Linked DNA regions of Oryzias latipes. The protein of the gene in region 1 interacts with the protein of each later gene in a biochemical or structural test. Links are inferred from orthologs where the notes say so. Each region holds a gene or a part of one and is shown on either strand. Other genes may lie near its edges.

What was found. The genes of interacting proteins can lie anywhere in the genome.
Region 2: the proteins of hus1 (region 1) and rhno1 form a complex in vitro, tested with the Homo sapiens proteins (2 studies listed by BioGRID). The link is inferred for Oryzias latipes from reciprocal best matches to the Homo sapiens genes HUS1 and RHNO1.
Region 3: the proteins of hus1 (region 1) and fen1 form a complex in vitro, tested with the Homo sapiens proteins (2 studies listed by BioGRID). The link is inferred for Oryzias latipes from reciprocal best matches to the Homo sapiens genes HUS1 and FEN1.

Annotation. Positions count from the first base shown.
Region 1 is NC_019878.2:4,319,771-4,324,618, forward strand, and holds the start of hus1 (checkpoint protein HUS1), read left to right. Parts: upstream 1-1,703; 5' UTR 1,704-1,990; coding exon 1,991-2,042; intron 2,043-3,952; coding exon 3,953-4,080; intron 4,081-4,155; coding exon 4,156-4,332; intron 4,333-4,848. Other genes in the region: cell death activator CIDE-A, read right to left, coding at 107-174. UniProt on the Homo sapiens protein: Component of the 9-1-1 cell-cycle checkpoint response complex that plays a major role in DNA repair. The 9-1-1 complex is recruited to DNA lesion upon damage by the RAD17-replication factor C (RFC) clamp loader complex.
Region 2 is NC_019881.2:18,846,270-18,850,305, forward strand, and holds rhno1 (RAD9, HUS1, RAD1-interacting nuclear orphan protein 1), read right to left. Parts: upstream 2,423-4,036; 5' UTR 2,259-2,422; intron 2,127-2,258; 5' UTR 2,104-2,126; coding exon 1,945-2,103; intron 1,834-1,944; coding exon 1,192-1,833; 3' UTR 1,071-1,191; downstream 1-1,070. Other genes in the region: foxm1 (forkhead box protein M1), read left to right, coding at 3,307-3,748, 3,843-3,991. UniProt on the Homo sapiens protein: Involved in microhomology-mediated end-joining (MMEJ) DNA repair by promoting recruitment of polymerase theta (POLQ) to DNA damage sites during mitosis.
Region 3 is NC_019878.2:12,532,836-12,537,749, forward strand, and holds the start of fen1 (flap endonuclease 1), read right to left. Parts: upstream 3,371-4,914; 5' UTR 3,259-3,370; intron 2,865-3,258; 5' UTR 2,852-2,864; coding exon 2,770-2,851; intron 2,280-2,769; coding exon 2,177-2,279; intron 2,061-2,176; coding exon 1,958-2,060; intron 1,825-1,957; coding exon 1,761-1,824; intron 1,633-1,760; coding exon 1,523-1,632; intron 1,352-1,522; coding exon 1,215-1,351; intron 1,131-1,214; coding exon 1,064-1,130; intron 963-1,063; coding exon 831-962; intron 751-830; coding exon 599-750; intron 419-598; coding exon 304-418; intron 196-303; coding exon 118-195; 3' UTR 1-117. UniProt on the Homo sapiens protein: Structure-specific nuclease with 5'-flap endonuclease and 5'-3' exonuclease activities involved in DNA replication and repair.

The DNA.
Region 1 (4,848 bases):
ATTCTCTAAATCTGTCCTCACGGACACGCGAGGTGCCGCGAACAGGTGACCTGACTGACGCACTGAGTCCAAACCCTCCGCGCGCGCAAACTCGGAGCAGACTCACCTGAGCAGAGAATCCGGCAGCAGCGTTTTAGCGTAACTGACTCCGGACTGGATGGAGAGCGGCGCCATGCTCGCGCCAGTCAACAAAGAGGAGGAGGAGGAGAGATGAAGGTCCGAAGGCACGCCAGCACTTTATGTAAAACGGCGGCTTGTCATTGGACAGAGAACCAATCAACCTCATGCGCATGCGTCAGGTTAACCTTCAGCAGATGACTCATGCCTGAAGATAAAGATGAATTGAGCTCCAAGAAGAAGAAAAAGATTCCTAATCTGAAACACACAGTTGTACCTCAGCCAGCAGCTTCCAACCCTTTACTCCAGCCTGTTTCAAACAGAAACTGCAGCTTCTTAAGAGGATTAATCAGACAGGAAACAAAGAGCTCTCTCATGGAGGTTTTCTTTTTACCAGTCTGCCCTCAGAGTGAAAATGTTTGACCTTCTTCAGATGATAAGACCAAACATGGTGTCCAACGTGCTGAAGTTTGAGTTCTGGGTAAAGAGGACTGAGCCTTTCTCTAATCACCCACAAAGACCTGCTGTTTCACCTATGACCATTTTTTTCTTTTTAAACAAATGCAGCAAATATTTAAAAGAAAGAAGGGAAAGAAGATCTGCAGTGAAATATTTCTGCAGTCAGAAACCTTTGGATCTATTTGTCTGACATCAGGATGGAGCAGAATGTGGCTTTACTTATTCAATTTACTTTAGTTACTGACGACTTACAGTCCATCTGTTCCTTCCGTTCACTGAACTCAAGCATCACACAAATCTATCTTGAAGGACCAAAGTTTTGAAGGTTTCAGGTGAAACAAACAGCCAGAGGAGCCAGGACTTGTAGATCATGAACCTTGTGTGATCATTGTGCCGTTTACATGGAATTCTTTAGTGATTTGTGCGCCAATAAAGTAATTTTAACGTGATATGTGCGCCGTAGACGTGATATAAAAGTTATACATGCGTGAAAAGTCTGTTAGACATACGTGGAATGGTCGTGCAAAGCCACAAAATTGCATATACATCTCACAAAAATCACACACAATTGCGTAAGAATAATTGCGTGTAAACTATGCAAAATACACGTAAACTGTGTAATTTTCAACAAACTAAAAATTTTGAACAGCTCAAAACCAAATTCCCACACAGACCTGTCGTCCAAAACTCTCAACGGTTCTGTACTGAGTTTGACCTTTCTAACCTTTATCATAACCACAACACACGGGAATGCACCTGTGTCTCTGAAGGACCACAGCTGACATTTTTAATCATCTATTAGACATGAGGAGCAGATCATTTGCTGTTCAACTAAACTTGTTAGTTCTGAGAGGGTTTTATAACTTACTGAGTCTGTTAATTAGATTTGGGATTTCATTACTGCTGCAGGCTATTAAAGTTTGACATTGTGTTTATTTATTTTTTGACAATCAGTTCAACTTTTGACCTATTCCTTTTCTTCCTGTGTGAGAAGTTTTTTTTGTTAATTTCTTTTAAGATTTTTAACATTTTTAGACTTGATTTTATCTTTATTTTTTTGTTTGTTGATGTGGGCGTAGGTGTGTATAAATTTTGCAACATTATTTTTAACCATTGACTATATAGTCACACTTTTAATGCACTTTGAGCTGCATACAGTGCTGTATAAATAAAGATTGATTTATCCTTTTAATACCAAGTCTAATTCGTTTCAGTTTTTACAACAACTTTCGAATATTCTGGATTTATAAGTTATGTATCTGTTCAGACAGGAACTATTATTGTTTTGTTTCCGGGGAACATTTTACGCAGACGGACCTAACCAAGACAGAGCGCTTTAATGGTTTCCCGCCTGCGTTTGATGCGCAGAAGCTGTGTTTAGCAGAAAACCTCAGTATTTGGTCTCAGAGTCCAGATGAAGTTTCGGGGGAAGATCGTGGACGTGGCGTGTCTGAACCACTTCACCCGTGAGTCACTTCAAACAGCAAAAAAAAAAAAAAAAAAAAACTACCGAAAACTGAGAGCCGACGATGTCACATTCAGTTATCTACGAGCCACTTTCATTCACATTATAAATTTCGTATGTGTAAAAATTCACTTCAATCTGATCAGCAAATAAATCTAATATGATTCTCTTAAATGACGACTTTGAAAAACTTAAAACGTTTGTCGTGTCGCGTTGCATGTTGGGAATAGGAGTTCTGTAAATATATTTTTAAAGGGCTTTTAACCTCAGGTGTGCATTTCTGTTGTTTCTGTACCTGAAATGTATGAGTAAGCCCTTCAATTATGTTCAATTAAATTATTTTTGACGAACATTTTAAAATATTTTAACATTTAATTGATAATGTGACCAATAATAGCAACCAGAGACTGACTTTAGAAACTAGTAGTTTGAAACAAACGAAAATGTATTAAAAGAGAAAACTGCAGTTGGCTTAAACAACCTGACTTCACTTATCTGGTAAACCCAGTGAGTGCAGATATAAAAAAATACTAAATAAACATAAATAAATGTGCCTGTTTTGAGGAGAAATGTGTTAATCTGCCGTATTATTATCGAATAATTGGTGTTATTTGGTAAAGGAAATCTCATTTTGCTGTCCAACTGTTGACTGAAAACATCCAGTAACAGGGCTCCAGATTAACTTTTTTCACTAGGAGCACTGTTGCCCCCAACTGAAAATTTTAGGGCCACAACCAGAAAATTTAGGGGCGCATATTGTAAATCAACATGCTAACCAAATCTATTAATTTCCACTGTATTACTAATAAATACTTTTATAATAGATGCCGAAATTACAACGTGCTGTTTCAAATTCAGTGTCATATTTTATTCTGCACTTTTGAAGATGCAACAAGGTAAACTGACAGCACCATCGCTGTCATGACAGTACAAATAGTAAACAAAATACCATACATTAAAAAAAAGTTTTTAGTAACAAGTGAATACCGTAGTAACCTTTCGGTCATTTCACAGTTTCAAACAATACTTAAATGTATGTAAACATTAGGGGATGGAAATTCATGTTGGCGACACCAAATAGGTGCAGCCAAGATGCACAATAATTTGAGATCACCCAGATGGACGCAACGCTGCACAGATCACCTGGTGTGAGACATATTTTTGTTTTTCCTCAACATCACCTGTCAATCAAAACAAAAATATCACCAGAAAGGGGCGGAAGCAAGACCTCAACCTGAGCGAACGCAGCTAGAAATTTAGCACTGAACTGACTGAAAGCTGCCCTACAGACTACAAAACGATGCATTATGGGACATGCTTCCTGATGGGTTTTTTGTAGTTCACTGATCAATTAAAATAATTTAAAATACCAACTGATTAAAAAAAGCTACATACATTCCAAAACATTAAAATAATTATAAAAGATGTAATATCACAGATCATACTTAAGGGGAGAGGCATGTTAAAACTAAATTGAATGTTAAGGACTACAACTTCCTGCTCTCCTTCAGTCTCGCTGCAGCTTCGCCTTCATGCCCCCCCCCCCCCCCCCCCCCCCCAGGGCGCTGGTTTATCGTAAACCCGACTATTGTTGCATTTTCCACACGTGTTTTAAGTGCGTCTAAGACTAAATCGTCTCATTGTTTATTTCATTGCTCATTTCATTGATCATTGACGTGCCCCTTCCACGTTTAATGTATAAAAAATACGGAGGGTGGGGGAGGCAAATTTACTGGTAGATATCTAGCACATGCTAGATGTAAAATTCAGTCGCACACTCTCAAATTTTGGTCGCAAAATGCAACCAAATGGTCGCAGTCTGGAGCCCTGAGTAACAGGAAATGGTGAACATGTGGAGTAAACGGGTTCAGTGTGTGCTCAGGACTGACAGTGGTTGCTAACTTCCTCCAGGAGTCGTCACCACCATCTCCAAGCTGACCAAGACGTGCGTGCTGCGGCTCAACCCGGACAACCTTTTCTTTGTCCTGTCAGGGAAAGTGGCCAATGGAGGAGTCAGCATGTGGTGTGAGCTGTCACAGGTGAGCAACGCCACCTTTTGGTTTGGATTTGGCATTGCAGGAAGAATATTTTAAGCAATTTTAAACCTACTGCAGGCTAACTTCTTCGACGAGTACCAGATGGAGGGCGTTTCTCCAGAGAACAATGAGATTTGTCTGGAGTTGGCTCCAGAGAACCTGTCCAGAGCCCTGAAGACGATCCAGAATGCCAAATCTGTTAAAGTCAAACTTACCAAGAAGCATTGCCCCTGTCTGACTGTCTGCGCCGAGCTGGTAAGTCCTGCTCTGAGCACTTGACCCCTCAGCTTAGGAGAAACTGTCTTCAGGGAAGATCTGTGATTTTCATAAAAGCTTACTAACAATCTCCCAGTCTCAGGGTTCAGGTTGGTTCTTCTGGGTTTAGATAATTTTACGGTATAGATGATCTCGGTTCTCATAATCATGATATCCCATTGGGTTTATTTGAAGCTTTGAGCAACACCTGCTGTCCACACTTGTGAGCATTCTGTTCTCTGTTTTGGCCCGGATCTTGGCGTTTGGGCCGCTCATCAGAACCGTGACTGGCTGACGTGGATCAGTGGGATGTGAGCTAGCTGCTACCTTGAGCTGCATTCACACCAAACATCTTTTCACGCAGCGACGGAGCAGTTTCAAATCAATTCAATTCAATTCAATTCAATTTTATTTGTATAGCCCAAATTCACAACAACAGTCGTCTCAGTGGGCTTCGTACCGGTAATTGTAAGGTAAACATACAATAGAAAAGGATCATAAGGGCATAGAATTCAA
Region 2 (4,036 bases), on another chromosome or scaffold:
TTCATGCACACAGTCAAATTCCACGAATACTTTTGAGCATATAAGAAGAAAGAAAACACGAAAAATTGACATGTTCACACACTGTATGTATTTTTCTTCAGGTGTTTGTCTGAATTTTAGTTTGGACTGTATAAAAATCCATGATTAAAAAAATATCTGACATCCAATTGAGCATGCGCGTAGGGTTTAACTCAAATATTATAATAATCTGTTCAAATATGCAAAAATTAAATATTTTTACTTAGGCGAGGGGGGGGGCATTTTCCGCCAAAAACACCTCAAAATGATAGATGAGAATTTATTTTACACGTAATATTTACATGAAGCTGGTATGTTCCTATAACTGTGGTTGTAAATGCGTTCGCTTGAAAACAAGCCAAACACACAGAAAACAAACGCTGGGATTTATAACTTTCCCTGACCGGTCCTTCTTCCAAACAACCGTTAAGTCGCAACTCACTAAAAAAATCAAACTAAAAACATTCTCAGTTAATTGTCATCAATTCTATAATTATCAGGAGTTGAATATCAAAGCTACCGTACAACCGTTAGAAGCTAACGTTAGCTGCTTCAGCCCGTTTTCCGATGTTTGCGATGCCGCGTTTTATCAAAGTTAAAGGCGACACTTAAGTTTTCCCAACACAATTCCACGGACACGAGCGGGATTTTCACGCCACAATAGACAAAACTGAAGACCAAAGAAGTCCGTGAATAAGTAAGGATGTATTTTCAAGGCTTTACTCTTACCTTATGCTGTAATAACTCATGTTTATGCACGGTTACTAAGGAAAAGGCTCCTCGAAGAAAAACGCTTTTTGCGGACGCAGGAGCTGCGGATGAATACTCTGCCTTGGCAACCAAGCGGACCAATAACGAGCACTCCTATTGGCCGGCTGTTTTCCTAGAAGGAATCTAATTGGTTTACATCTGGGGAAAAGGTGGGAACAATAAAAGGTTTTCTCTAAAACGAAATGGGCTTCAAATGACCATCCAGTATGACTTAAATTTCTAATATGTGTTCAAAACTTAGAAAAATAAATAATTATTAATCAGATGTCAAATTCATTTATTTTTCATTTGATTCTTGTCAGGCAACATCAGGAAAAAATAATATTATTTGGGTGTGCAAGAGAAATGAAAAAGGATTTTTTACAAAAATTAAAAGATTTATGATAGAATAAACTTAAGTGACTAATCGAGGAGGCCCCTTTCCTTTAATATGATCATCAATCCCTTTCTCCTCCTCCACGTCACCTTCACCCCATAGTCCCTCTCTGGTGTGTCGGAGACCAAAACATTAGGATGAAGATGACACTGCGGGGAGGAGGGATCAGCCAGCAGTGAACAAACAGGGGGAGACATGGGGCAACTGTTCTGCTTCATTGTTGGAGTGTCCACTTCAGGAGGCGGGTCAACATTGCCAAGTCTAGGGCTACTACACCCACCGGGTGGAGTTCTGCTTTCCTCCGTTACCTCTATTAACTGATTTTCAGGTTGGTGCAAATATTCACTGTGAGATGGAGCTCTGTTTAAAGATTTTTGAGGATTTCTTCGTCTCTTAGGTGCAGGTAAAACTGTCCTATTGCTTTGACATGATCCCTGTGGTTGATCTTCAGGCATTGACGTCACCTCTGCCGCTTTCTTTGTGCGCTGTCCACTTGGATTATGGGACTTGTCTCTCTCCGCCCTAAGAAATAATAACGATGGGTATTTGCACACTTTGTGTTTCCTGGACAGCTCGTTGCACGTGTCAAGAATCCTTGTGACGGACTGACAATTTCTTCTTCCTCGTCTAAATGGAGGTGTAGCTGAGATGTCAAACTGGGGTTGAACCTGAAAGGTTGGGAAATTTATAGTTAAGTAGACTTTTTTGCCAGTTATCTAATCAACTAAATCTATATTTGTAATGTTTTATATATTTTTATATATTTAAAAGACTTTTACCCAGGAACTGAGAGCTGAAGAGCTGTGTGTCTTGGAGAAAAACTCTCTGGGATTGAGAGCAGCTCTGACTTCAGGCACATTTTGAAGTCTGGCGCCACTCACAGGTCGCTCCAGGAATTGCAGTGCAGGCTTGTCTGTCTTTGCCGCTTTCCGGGGCATCAATTTAAATCAATCTTAAGCATCTGTTCAAAACAAACAAGAGACAAATCCGATCGAGTAATCTTGTTAACAATACACATAGCTTTAGTCGTAGATCGAGGCTGTTTACATATTCGCATTCAAGTGTTTACTTTTGAAACGCGTTCTTTACTTACCATATTGTGCTTTTTCCGTGATTATGTGTCCATGTACGGAATACGGAATAAAAACGTTCCCTTATTTTTCGGTTCATTCAGACCTTTTTATCTTAGCTTGTCCGTGTTGTTGTTACTTTTAATTTCCCGGATTTTTTCTTTGTCTTCTTCGGGTTAGCGGCTGGCCATCTCGAGCTGCGGCCCACAGCGCCACCTATTGAGCCGCCCAGTGTTTTTTTCTGCGTTTACTATTGGTCCATTGTTACCATGTGATCAAAGTGACAGTCGGGGCAGCGCCCACAGCGCCAAAATTCAAAACTGTTTATGGATTGACTTTTTGTATCTAATTACTACTAAATACGTCGGTTTTGTGAATATTTTAAATGTTTTCTTTGATCCGACAAGTGGAATTGAAAGCCGAACCAAGCCTGGAATTGAATGAAACGCTGCAGTAATTCAGTAATGTGAAGGTCTGGCTTCATTTTTCCACTTGTTTCCTCCATCGTCAAACAGCTTTAGCATAGCTAGCTTAGCCTAGCTGTAAATAAAGGAAACTATACGCTAATCGGGACATTGGCTAGGCGCATGTTATTTTTTGAATTTATTTTTTGTTTTATTGATTGCATTGTGTTAACATGTAAATATATGTTGCACTGAATATCCACTAGATAGACGTTATTGAAATTAAACCTATCATCAACTGAAAATTATAACGACTGGCATGTCGCCAAGGGAACCGAATAAAATCTTCACTTTCGAGCGAGGGACTGTTGGGACTTTTGCAGCAAACAGACAGCAATAATCGGGTTTCTTTAAGTTTGAAGACGATATCATAGGATTGAAACATCATTTTTGACCGATTACTTCGTATTCTATTAGCAGGTATGTTGTTTTCAGGCTCACTAGTTCGGGGTTATCGTTAAAGTCAGTATTTAAACGTTGTAACGTAATGTATTGATAAGGTGTTTAACTTCTGAGTACTTTTTGAGCCATAACTGTAGCTCAAGACCTTTTCCCCCTCCCCACAGATTTCCATTGAACACCTAAGGCCCTTTGGATGATTTGAACCATGAGACGGAGCCCAAGGAGACCCCTGATCCTCAAAAGGCGCAAGTTACCTTTTCAACAAAAGGAACCCACCCCAGCAGACCCATCCAGGCAGTCCGGTGGCTCCAAAGAGCCGTCAAATTCCAGCGACAGTTCGTGCTTCCCAGACGGGGTCCGCTTTATAGGCCACCCATCCCTGTCAGACACTCAGGTTGTGGTCATTCCCAAAGCTACAGACGTTCAGAGTGTAATTAGTGTCCTCGCCGCTAAAGGCAAAGACAGCGGAGTTCAGGGTCCGAGCAAGTTTATTCTCCTGAGTGACAATGGCAATCAGGATCAAGCCGGATCTTTCTGTGAGACTGCTACTTCTGGAGGAGATGCTGTTTCCACACAAATCCCATCTCAAGAACCAGCAACAAAAGAAAGCACTCACACATCCCTTGATGTGACTGGCATTAAACCCTGTAAGGAATTTGCACAGAGTTTAAAATTTTATGTCAGAAATGCTACATTTAACTGAAATACCTGCTTCAATATATATATATAATTTTTTTTCAGTGAGTAAAGATGGGAATAGCGGCCCTTTGGATGACAGCCTCACCAACATCCAGTGGCTGGGCAAAATGAACACATGTGCTCTAGAGTCAGAGCCTGCAAAGCAAATACAAGGCAAGGAGAACCAGGCTCCCGTGTCTCAGACTGCTCAGGTCAGCTGTTTGTCTTTTTTTTTCCTTCCACACGGTTGTGACTTT
Region 3 (4,914 bases), about 8.2 Mb from region 1:
CTTGATGACTGAGTTTTCACTCGACAGCTTTCTTATCTCTACTTATGCACCGTAGTCCTTTTTCGTGGTTTGACATACTAACAATCTTAACTAGTTGAACAAAGTTCTGCTTTGAGCTTATTTGGCCTTCTTGAATTTTCCAGGTGTTGCTCCAGTTTTCTGCTTTTTCTTTGCTGGTCCTTTTGTTTCTGGCTCCTACAACAAAAATAAAAGCAATTTGTTTAGAAAATGGTTCACTGAAAATCAAAAAAAGTATTTTCTTCACATTGAGTTTGTCGTTCAGAAGGACTTTTGGCTTCGTACCTTTCGTTTGGAGGACAGGGATCCAGTGACGGTGAAGAAAGAGTCCAGTCTTCCCTGTGTGCTGCCCTGTCTGCTTTTTACAATCTTCTTACAACCGTTACGGATTCTGTCCTCACTGCACGCACAAAAAAACAGACAAAAAACAATGAACGCTTTATTTCATTCCATCTCGGAAAGCTCAGATTAAATCTGATCTCCTAAAAGTTAAGCAAACACTAAAAGACCCACAAACTAGAGGTCAAACATAGTACGGCAGGTTTGACGGGGATGAGAGTGTGCAAAAAAACTCTTTCACCTGAACTGTTTCTCGTTGCACATGAACTGGACCAGGCCCTCCTCATCAGGCTCGTTCCACTTCAGCTCCACCGAGGAACAATCCACCACCTCCGGCTTCAGAAACAGACCCCTGGCCTCTTTATACAGCCAGTCCTCTGGGGCCGAGTGTTTCTGCAAAGAGACAAGCAGGGTAGATGGAATCAGAGGTTGATGCTTCGAGAGCAGCTGCAGCTGCAGCTTTGAAACCTCACCTTTGAATCGATGTTTTCTAGGATCTCCTCGATGCAGCCGTGCTGTCGGATCAGGTCCACGGCTCTCTTGGGGCCAATTCCCTTGATGGTGCCACAGTAGTCGCAACCCAGCAGAATACACAGATCGATGAACTGAAATGCAGAGAACGCTGTCAAAGTGAAGGCTTCCGGATGGTTTTATAAGGAGCTTTATCTGTACAATCATAGAAATGATTTAAAACAGAGAAATGTACCTGCTCTTTGGTCAGGTCCATGTCCTGCAAGATGCGATTAAAGTGGAACTCTTGAATGGGAAGCTTTCTGAAACAAGCAGGAACATCTTTGGTTAATAGTTCTTTCCACTCCTTTTTGAGCATGCATGGAACATGAAGCAGCAGGACATACTTGGCTTCGCTGGCAGTGAGATGTCTGAGCAGCACGTTTGTCCCAAAGGTCAGGCCGTCCATGTCTTCTGTTGCCGTGGCAAAGACCTTCCCTTCTTTAACTAAAGCAGCACAGCTGGCTTCAGCCTCACATGGAGCCTGAAAAAAATGGTTGTACCATGCTGTGTCACAGAGGAATGTGTCTGAAAATATATTCAATAAGTGTTTAATATTTCTGTACTCTTAGATCCAGCGTACATAAGCAAAACTAAAATATATGGTAACAAATGTTAAAATACAGCAAATATAGCAAAAGGAAAAGTATGATACCTCAATGTAAGGAACGCCCATCAGGGATAGCAGCTTTTTGCATTCGTCATTATGCTGCTTAGTCACTTTAACCAGACGTTTGGTGAATTTTTCTACATTTTCTTGTTCTCCTGATTTTTAAAAGACAAAGAGGACATTATTAATCTGATCAGATAAAATACATAATCATGTTCTTTCATTCCTGCAATCCAATCAAGAAAATAAAGAAGAATGTGGCAGAAATGAATTTTTTTTTTACCCATTTCCTGTGCTTGAGCAAGCAACTTCTCAGCTTCTGCCCTCCTTTCTCCTCTCTTCTCAAGCTACATGATATGCATTTTTAAAAAAAAGGTGTTAAAAATACACAAGATGCAAATTAATTTGTGTCATGCAATATCATCTATGCTCCTTAAATGGTAATAAAAATCTGCAGAAGATCTTCAAGACAGCACTGACCTCTGATGATTTGAGCTGTGGAGGCTTCCCATCAAAAACGTACACCGGCTTGATCCCATGCTCCAGCATGCGGATCGTTCGGTAGAACATTCCCATTAGGTGGCTGTGAAAAGTAAACACAGTCATTTAACACTTTAGATCTAATAAAAGAAAAACTGCAGCAGTAATTCATAAACGCCCCATTCCCTGTTTTCCTAGTGTGTGTTGCTTCATCTGTACCTTGTTGTTTCCCCATCTTCATTCTGTAGAACATTACCATCCTGTCTCACAGCAATCAGGAACTGGTACATGCACATGGAGGCATCGATGGCAATTTTCCTGCCTAAGAAGAGAATTCAGCATCAAGCAAATATACAGTGATTGATTTCAAAACTAGAGCCCTAGAAATGACAAAAAAAAATAAAAACTGTTCACTCACATTAATAACTTCTGAATACGCATTTAGTGTGCATACATTTTGTGCATACAAGGTAGCCTTTAGTGCACACAAATTAATAATTTGCAGCCAGAATCAGCATGTTATTGGCACAAAGTAGCACTTGGTGCAAACAAATTCGTATTTTGCTGCCATATTTAGCTTGTTCTTGGCATTTTTGGGTGACGATTTAGTATTTGTAAGCACAAATTAGTAGTAACAACTGATGATATTAAATTACAAGTTTATGGTCACAAACTACTAAATTCTGACCACAAAAATGAAAATGTGACTGCACAAAGCTTTAATTTGTGGCCACAAATTATTAATTTGAGGGAACAAATTAATTATTTTTTGCAAGTTGCTTGCATAAATAAACAAGAACATGTGCAGTTACCAAAGTAGCTCTTAATGTCTTGCTCTTTGATTGCAGAAGGGGCATGGTCAGCAATCAGTTTGGCAAGTCCGTGTATTCCCATTATTGGATGATATCTGAAGGAAAAACAGCACTTTATTCAAGTTTTCAGCACAAAAACATTATCATCATGGCAGTCAACACATTCCAAAGTTGTGGGCACTTCTGCAGGCGGTGATTAACTGTTCACATCATCTTAACCCATTGGAAGCACAGAGGACTCAATGTGAACCCGAAAAATAGTGTTTACGACAGGTTTGTATGGAGCCTTTAAATCTAAGTAACATAGCGGTAACCGCTGGTACTACTGTACTAGTCGGTAGGATGCATTCGCCCTGGGCCTAGCTAAGCTTGCATTGGTACTCTGCGACTGACGGGTATACAGGAAGTCGACATGGTCATTTTAAATTGAAATGACTAATAACGACGTAAACAAGTGAATGATATAAAAGTAAACGTTTTCTTGCCTACCTGTTAGCAATAGCACCGTGGAATAACCAACGACCAAAGAGGGCGGGAGGAACTGTGTGTGTTTCGCGGGAAATCAAATGGCAGGCATTACCGGTCAAATTATCGAGGACAGAATCCCGAAAAGGAACTGTGAGTGTCCTCATCGATGTTGCCGGTTCGATTAGTCTGGCTTGTGCGAAAGCGCAGAAGTCACAAAAACGCACCTGATTGGTTGATTGAGGTTACAGGAAATCCGGTCTATCAGACAAACATAAAAAAAATTATTCAGTCGTTGTAATATTAGCCAAAACGTCCAAATTCATCATTCGGAGTCGTTATAAAAGAACCCCCTAAAAATGTACTGCTTTTAAATATATTTTTATGTCAACTTTTGACGTACCAAATATGTTGCAGGTGTATTTTTCGTTTCTCCGCCCACTCCGGAAAACTAAAGGGACTCGTTATTTTTATTTTTAAGGTGACGTGTTGCCGAGTCCTTCTTTTTTGTTTCCGCCGACCAATGTGGCACTAAATGTACCCGGATATGATCGACCCGAATGTCTAACCCGCCAGTACACTTTATCGAGGGTTTCCGACATGTTTAGCCGTTAGGTTGTGCCTTAATTGCAGTGAGCTCCACCGTCGGCGCATACCGGAGCAGAGAAGACTGTCGGGGCCTGAAGTCCACGGAGTCTGACGGACAGAAAGTCGGCTCTTCACCATCGGCATTGAGGTGACACGGCAGTGAGATGAGCGATTCGGATGTTTACAGCATTCTTGGGTTGTTTTTGAACAGAAATGTTTAGCTCAGAGGGTCGATAAGATCCTTTTCTCTTATAGTCACGTTAAGGGACACTGATTGAAACAACAAGACTACTCAGATTTTGGCCTTACTGCTTTAATCACTGTTTGTTAGATGAATCCAGTTATTCTGCTTCTAATCTAGTTTACATCTCCTCCAAAGAGTGACTGATTTGCCTGCTCTAAATGTCTGTTTTTGCTATTGTCCTGATTCAGATGACAGCTAAGGTCTTTCCAGTGACATGATGATCTATCTGACAAAAGCCTCGCTTTGGGAGATTTAAAAAAAATATTAATTATTTACCAATAAAGAAAAAAAATCCATATTCTTTGCAGTAAATGTCAGGAATGTGGCCTGACAGGAGCAGGTTTGACATGGGATTGTGGTCATGAAACCATGCTGGTCATCTATATCTTAAAAAGCAATTATAAACTGTGTTGAACAAGTTATTTCCAAACTCTAATCCAGTACAGATTACTTGTTATTGCTCTTCAAAAGTAATCCCAAAACCTTCCAATATTACTGTCTCAGAATTACTTTCTTGTTACTTTCTTTATAATATCGGTACAACATGATAGTCTAAAGTAAAATGGTAATTCGAAAACTTTTAAATTCACACGAGGGGCAACATAGTTTCAAAATTGCTAAAAAATGATATATATATATATATATATATATATATATATATATATATAGTTTTATTTTGGTAAAATGAAAGCTACCATTAGCTTTATCAATAAAAAAGGAAAATATAGAATATCTACTCTTAAAAATAACAACAAAGACTAAATAAAGAACTAATACTGTCTAATAAGAGTGTATTTAAATAATAGTTGCCTATAACAACAGGACAGAAGTGTTTGTGTTTGTTTTTG